2 linked regions of the Danio rerio genome follow. The protein of the gene in region 1 interacts with the protein of each later gene in a pairwise test. Links are inferred from orthologs where the notes say so. Each region holds a gene or a part of one and is shown in the gene's direction. Other genes may lie near its edges.

Region 1 (3,959 bases):
AACTGTGCAAGGTTGCGGCCCTCCAGGAACTGAGTTTGACATTCCTGGCTTAAAGAATGGCAATAATTGATCACATGTTTAGCAAAATATGCAAGTGATTCAGTGTAGGCTAACTTGTTGTGCCTCCAACACAGGTAGAAAAGAATTCTGACCCAGATATGGCATATATCTGGCAGGGCAGGCATTTGTCTGGCACTGGCATACAGCATGTAGGCCAAACATGGCCCTGGTTTGGCAGAGGTGGCACCGTCTTTAAGACGGCACACAATAGGCCTACTCGGGCCAGATGTTAACAATTGATATATGAGCCATGAACGTTAGGCTTATCTTGACCCACATTTAAAATACATTTTTATTATTTTCAAATAAAGAAAAAAATTCTACCAAGTACCAATCATCGCTTCGAGAAAAAGCAAGCCCATAGCATGCCTAAAGCGCAATGATCCCTGAGTATATCAATTTCATTGCAGACGGGATACAAAAACATATCTGGTGAAGTTTAGGCTCAGTTATGGGTTATTAACTTGTCTGAGACTTGGCCCAGATATTGTCCATGTTTGGTCCTTGTCTAAAAGCCAGAATTGGTCCACTCATATACCATAATTTACTGCCGCAAGTGGGCCAAGCAAAAGCTGATTATGTGGGCCAGATATTTTTTGATATGTGGGAATAGCACCGACTGATGATGTTTTAAAAACACCAAAGGTCCGTATAAAGTATTAAAAAAACTGTTCTGTTTACATTAAAGCAAAAATTAGGCTACGTATACACAAAGCAATCTTGCAAACATTAAATGGTAAAATTCCCTAAATAACTATTACAGGCTATATAAGTGGTTTAATTGTTACTGTCTTTTTCTGATTAATACATGGTTTAATAATCTAGTTTGGACATTTCTGTGGTATTCTTGTGTTTGTGATGTCAGGTTAACAGACACCAAAACACGCCTTGTAGCAGGCAGAAAAGTGTAATAAACAACCACAAACCCTCTGTTTGAAGGGTAAGGGTTTGAATCGTGTCTGGACTGTTCAAACCCACTACTTATAATGTGGAAAACAACTCTTGCTCATAGATCAGATGAGAAAAATCTGAAGAGCCGAAACACACGGTCGTAACACAGGAAGTAACCCAATGTCCCGGATGTGCTTTCACAGCAGAGCGCCGTATTCCAGTTTTCATCGAGCGCCAAGGCTGTGCAATTCAATCACAGTAATAAAGTAATCAACGTGGAAAAAAACGCGATTAGTGCAAATATTAGGAAGTGATTTAATAATCCGTCATACGATGTCAGTTGTACCTCCTAATCGATCATCTACCGGTTGGCCTCGAGGAGTAAATCAGTTCGGCAATAAATACATTACCCAGGCGACTAAACCCCTCACCCTGGAGAGAACAATCAACCTGTGAGTAACTTGAACTTAAAATTCAACACTACAAACGATATATGCGATTACTTAAACAAGCTTTAATGGTTGTAAATCCTAGTGCTGCTGCATTGTGCCTTTCATGTCAGTACGTTAGCATTGTTAGCGTTTGACCATGGCAGACTACCGTAGCTTCTTGCTGCCAGCTCTTGTTTGCATGCGTAACAATACAGTGAAATATTCAGAGTTTTGTTTTTTATGTGGCAAAATGCATGCACATTTATGGCAGTGTGTACATATGCAGGGATATTGAAATATAAGAGTTCGATATAGTTCTTATTAGTTTTGTATTCCATATGTTGCAGTTAGCATTGTTCTCGGTGATTTATCCTAGGGCTCTTTGCACATTTATTCGAAAATATCACTAACATTAGTCGACAGGCGCAATGTTATTGAAATGTTATTTGATTATTTGTGGTTTATGGTGTTATTTGTTATTATTTTGGTGTAACGTTAAGTATGACTTAGAAATCAAACAGTCGAATTCTTGAGCAAGTTACGTAAACAAATCCCAATCATTGATTATATTGAGTGACGGTAGAATTGTTATTATAATTGTTGATTTTGTTAATAACGCTAACCTTATGCCAATGTTAATCAAATATTAATATGAATGATCTTTAATGTAAATTCAAATTTGATATTGAAACCCTTATTTGGGAGTATTATTTTTAATTTGTACAAAAAGCTGTATGAAAACACAATGGAATGAAACGCCCATAATAGGCGAGCACAAGATCCAAATTACACTTTGTATAAAATTAATAAATGATTGCTCTTTTAAAGGTAGGACCTGTGAAATAAAATAAAAAGTAAAAATAAAGCTTTTTAGATGTTAGTTTTGAGGATATCTATAAGCTAGTGTGCTCAAACAGTGACTCAATTTGCGTTATAAGATATATACACATCTAAAGCCCGCAGTTTGTCACTTCCGCCTAATCTATGATTATTCATAGGTCACTTCATGTTTTACTTACTCACCAAATCTTGACCAATCAAATGCTCTCTAGTATGTGAGCATAAACCCCACCCCCTGCCAAGATGGTTCTCATTTGCTATTCATTTGATGCCTTAAGCTCAAACACTCTCATTGGCAGAGATTGTTTGTGATAAAAACAAAACGCTATTCTCTGTTTTTATTTTCTAAAGGGGAGGAACTGCCACCATTTCATTATGTTTCAGTTGAGATTACCTCAAACATGGAATATAAATGCCCATTTCAAAGCACTTCACAAAACCTTTAAACATTCAAAATACCACAGATTGGTAATGCCTTCTGGTCAAAATTAGAGCAGCACAATATTAGGGAGAAATTACCAAGTGATATTTTAATCCTCTGCGATGTACATTGCGATAATTTTACTAGATGAAATGAGTAGGTCTATTCAAAAAGAATTCATAATTTAGGTGATTTATTAAGGGAGTGATTTTGCAATAATATACAGTAACAAACCAATCACAAGCTTTGATAAATACAGTTGGGAATCTGGCATAATTCAGACGCACAGATACATGAACCATTGGATTTTAATAACTTTTTGAAATAATTATGATGAAATGCATCCTCCATTACATAAATTGTGACTTTTTGTGACCCCTTGATATGCAACCACTTATTTGAAAACAAGATTCTTAAAGGTTTTGAAGCTTTATGGAAATTTACATGACTAGCGGCTAGGGCTGCACTGTATTTGAAAAATCTAACATTGGGATATGTTTTTGTTCTGTGACATAAATTGCAATATAAATACAATTTTACAAGCCTATTTGGAAAGAATTAGAAATTTTAGATTGATTGGGATGATTTTGTAGAAGAGTGCATGCATAAAAAAATAAGAAACAAGCATAGAAAAATTCAATAAAGAAAAATACAAATTACATAAACAGTGTTTTATTGTTTTTGAGGAGTCAAACTGCATTTAGGTGTACAGTAAATGATTAATTGTAAAATAAAACAAGCAAATTCATCATTATTATTTTTTAGTTAAAAGCTGTACACATGCTGTTAAAACCCTCACACAATCACAGGCCTCAAAAACACTTGAAATATTGTAAATTATAACCCAGACTCAACATTGCATATACTCGTGATTTGACTATTGCGAATGTTCACATTGCGATATCAATGCTGAAACGATATATTGTGCAGCCCTACTACTAGCGGCCACATACAGTGCTTGCCATCTTTTTTCCCTCATTATTTTGTTATGATGCTATGTTTTGTTTTGCAGTGTGTGGATTATTAAAGCTTTATCACACCTCAATTTAAATGAAATAACATGTTTGTTTTTCCAAAGATACCCTCTTACAAATTACACATTCGGCACCAAGGAGCCGCTCTATGAGAAGGACAGCTCGGTAGCCGCACGCTTTCAGCGGATGCGGGAAGAATTTGAGAAAATCGGGATGCGGCGGACTGTGGAGGGTGTTCTGATCGTGCACGAGCACAGACTCCCTCATGTTCTGCTACTTCAGCTGGGGACAACCTTCTTCAAACTGTAAGCTATAGATTGTGTGTTGTGGATGTGATGAATT
Region 2 (4,274 bases), on another chromosome or scaffold:
TGCTGCTCAAAGCCTGTATCACAGAATGATGGGGAAAAGAGGAACCTCGTGCTCCTTTCTGTCAAGAATCTGTTGTCATACCTTATGAAATAGCAGCCTATGATAAAACCATTTTATAAAACGGATATGTCCAGTCCTTGCTGCTGATTGGTCATTAGCCGGGTTTTAATTACAACTACAGTAATGATCTTGTAGCAATACTGTGCAAACATGTCCGTGTGTTAGTATTAATATTTATTAAATGAAATATGAGTAGCCCCGCAAAATGTATGTATACGTTATTCATTTATTTAATATGTGTGTGTTTTGGGGTTAAAACTTATCCAGCTGCAGATATACACACGTTTCAGGCACACACGATCTAAGTTAGACGGGTGTTAATGTTATTAACCTCTTCTCGGACATCATCAATATATTTTACACATAAGGTTATTGTTAATATGTATTGTATAGGCAAACACTGTAAACAATAATGCATAGGCATACCATTTCACAAATATAGCGATCAAGACGGGCGAATGGGGAATAATCACCATTCAATATAATACACTGAACAGTTTTCCATCAGTCATCATAGATGATCAGTCATTATTTATCTGACAAAGTCAACATAGCAGATTCTCGTTTGCTCAAACATTTTAAACGATCTAATTTGGACAGGTTTAATTTATTTAATGGATGCATAATGAATGAAATATAGCTAATGTACAGGATAGGCTAATAGCCTACATCATTATATCAATGTAATGTACAAATCTTTTTACATTTAATAAATGTAAAACACTGTTAATCTTTTACTCCAGCAACTGAATAGTATATATTTGCTTAATTTTCTAATAATTTTTATAATGATCTCCCACATTAAATAGGCCTACTAGTAATTTATAGTAATATATTGAGTTCACCCCAAAAAATCAAATGGGCTCACTATTTACTCAGAGGTTCAGGTGGTTCCAAGCTTTTCTGAGTTTCTTTATTCTGCTGAACACAAGAGATGTTTTGAAGAATGCTGAAAATAATTATATGGAAGTTTTGTATTATATGTATTTTTAAAAATCCTAATTTGTGTTAAGAAGAAAGTAAATCAAAATGGTTTGGAACAAGTCAACAACCTAGTAAATAATGACAGAATTTTCGGTTTTGAGTGAACTAACCCTTTAAATGGGTAAAAAAAGAAGCTTGTTTTAAACGTTAAAAACTTAAAATAAATTTATAATATAGTTTATAATTAATTCGTCTGCATTTATAATAGTTGCGACATTTTCTGCGAGTTAGCATCTTACAATTTTGACTTTTGTCCAAATCTTTTTGATATTTATTTTATTTTGTTAGAAGTGTTTATCATAATTTGGATGTGTAAATGAATTATTATTATAATTATCATCGTCATTATCATTATAATATTTTTTTATCACCATCATCATTATTCTTCTTAATATTATTTTTATTAGCATCCTTTTGGGAAAGCGGGCTTTTATTTATTTTTTCTAATTGGAACTTTTATTTTGAAAGCCTGTTTTTTTTCGTCGCTGATTTCCACAGTGATGGACGGGTCAGTTGCTAGTTCCTCTGTGTGGGACACACAAAAAGTGTATAAACATCACGAGCAGCAAAATGTTGCCCAAACGCGACCAAAATACAGAGAAGGAAGACGCCTCAAAGCTGTTAAGGTCGGTTTATTTTATAAATGCCTTTATCTCATCGAATTGTGCAGCGTCAATGTAAGCAGTCATGTTGTCTTTAAGGTCTCTCTCACAAGAACTGAATCTCTGCTTATAAAAATAATGGCTGAATCGCTAATTTTAGGTGTACACCATCAACCTGGAGTCTCGGTATTTACTAGTTCAAGGAGTGCCCGCTATTGGAGTGATGGCTGAGCTGGTGCAGCTGTTTGCTCTGTATGGAGTGATCGAGGAGTACAGGCCACTGGATGAATACCCAGCAGAAGAGTTCACTGAGGTTTACTTAATTCAGTTCCAGAAGTTGACGAGTGCACGGTAAGAAAAGGCTGATTAAATCATGTCCCATGCGAGTCTGTGCCATATATTATATATTGTGCCATATTTTTCTTGTTGATGATATAATTTCAGAAAAGTATTCTTTGCATATTCTTAATAGTGAATCAAATTAGCAGCTAGTGACTATCAAAGTTCAACATTGTTCACAGTCAAATAAATAGTGGTAATGCTGATTTGAAGTCATACTTGCATGTGATTTCAAACCCAATATTAAAAGTACCATGGTAAACAATATAGGGAGCATGTCACAAGTTGTCATTGAAAGAATGTGTGAATCTAAAACCATCCTTACCTCAATGTACCATGTTGGTGCACTGCAGAGTCGCATTCACTTTTAGTTAAAGGGATAGTTGACTCAAATACTGTAACAATAACAATTTATTCACCCTCAAGTGGTTTGAAACACAAAGGAAGATATTTTGAAATCTGGAATCCAGTAACCATCAACTTGCATAGTAGGACAAATAAATAGTATTGAAGTCAATGGTTACCGGCTTCAAGCTTTCTTTAAAATATCGTTTGTGTTCAGCTCAGACGATGTTTGTGACATGTAACGGGTGAGTAAATGATGTCTATTTTTATTTTGGAGTGAACTGTCTTTGTAGGTTCCACAAAATGTGACTTAAAACATTATGATTCATTATTAAAATATTAAATAAACACATATAGAAAACTATATACAGTACACACACTACCATACAATTGTTTGGAGTCTTCCATTTTGAAAATGATTTTGAAAGAAGCATCTTATGCTCACCAAGTCAGCTAATATTTTTTTAACTAAAAACAAAGCATCAACAATCGGATGTATTATTACATTGTCACATTTTCTATCTTGTTTAAAAGTGTAATGTATTGTGTTGAGGATGAAGGGTAATTTTCATGCTTGGTACTCGCATTTATACATGGTTATTGTCACATGACTCTTCGGAAATAATTAATTTGCTGATTTGTTGTGCAGTATATAATTTCTAATTATTATCAATGTTGTAAAGTTGCACAACTTAACATCCAAAACATCTAAGGGTTTTTTTTTTTTTTGTTCAAGATTCTTTAATGTTCTTTAGTGTCTCTTTCTCTTTAATAACACTGTAAATCTCTTTACTGCCATTAAACATTTTAAGAATATTATAAAGAGTATTTATTGCTGATAATTCTATAAATACTTTTTTACATATTTTTTCCCCTCTAAACCAAAGCAAAAATCAAAGAATAATTATTTCAAATATATGGAATTAAGTAATCGTAGTTATTTTAATTATATTTTAATAAAACTATATATTTTTAGGATAGTGTCAAAGTAAAAATAGCTGTACTGGGATTTTTAAAAATATGCCTGACAAAAATTGTTTTTCTTATAAACTATTGTTACACTGAATGACATCCACTCACCGGCCACTTTATTAGGTACACCTTACTAGTACCGGGTTTGACCTCAGAACTGCTTTTATCCTTTCTGGCATGGATTTAACAAGGAGCTGGAAATATTCCTCATTAATTTTGGTCCATATTGACATGATAGCATGTCATTGAGCAGATAGGATGGATCCATGCTTTCATGTTTGAACTGGAGCAGATTGTCTCGACCATGTACATGCATAAATGAATTGAGTTGCTTTCATGTAATTGGCTGCATAGAAATTGGTGTTTACGAGCAGTTGGACAGGTGTACCTAGCAAAATGGCCAGTGAGTGGATATTGCCATGCTATATATATATATATATATATATATATATATATATATATATATATATATATATATATATATATATATATATATATATAATTTTTTTTTTTTTTTAAATTAATTAATTAATTTATTTTTTTACAGGGCAGCTAAAAGGCACACAGATGAAAAGAGCTTCTTCGGGGGTCAGCTGCATGTCTGCTATGCTCCTGAGTATGAAACCGTGGAGGAAACAAAGCAGAAATTACAAGACAGAAGGAGATATGTTAACTGGGCAAGCCGAAATGCAGGTATGGTAATGCATTGGTATTCTCTCTAAATAAATTGCATGTGTAGAAAGTCTAACAACTATCATATGCTTATTTTGTTTTCAGCACAACTACACAGTCAGCAAGCGGAAGTAAACACAGAGTCATCATCAAGCACAGACACACGAACAGCTGAAGCTCCTAAAATGCAGAAAAACCCTGAAGAAGCCAGAAGGGAGAACGTAAATTCTGACTATATGGGATTTCCTCTGTTGCCTTTGCCTCCAACAGCAGATATTTCTTATAGACTTCAAAATCATT

Evidence for each region. The genes of interacting proteins can lie anywhere in the genome.
Region 2: the proteins of nudt21 (region 1) and rbm48 interact in a two-hybrid assay, tested with the Homo sapiens proteins (2 studies listed by BioGRID and IntAct). The link is inferred for Danio rerio from reciprocal best matches to the Homo sapiens genes NUDT21 and RBM48.

Annotation. Positions count from the first base shown.
Region 1 is NC_133193.1:24,124,154-24,128,112, reverse strand, and holds the start of nudt21 (cleavage and polyadenylation specificity factor subunit 5), read left to right. Parts: upstream 1-1,158; 5' UTR 1,159-1,284; coding exon 1,285-1,403; intron 1,404-3,721; coding exon 3,722-3,922; intron 3,923-3,959. UniProt on the Homo sapiens protein: Component of the cleavage factor Im (CFIm) complex that functions as an activator of the pre-mRNA 3'-end cleavage and polyadenylation processing required for the maturation of pre-mRNA into functional mRNAs.
Region 2 is NC_133194.1:42,804,407-42,808,680, forward strand, and holds the start of rbm48 (RNA-binding protein 48), read left to right. Parts: upstream 1-1,467; 5' UTR 1,468-1,544; coding exon 1,545-1,670; intron 1,671-1,806; coding exon 1,807-1,997; intron 1,998-3,849; coding exon 3,850-3,995; intron 3,996-4,079; coding exon 4,080-4,274. UniProt on the Homo sapiens protein: As a component of the minor spliceosome, involved in the splicing of U12-type introns in pre-mRNAs.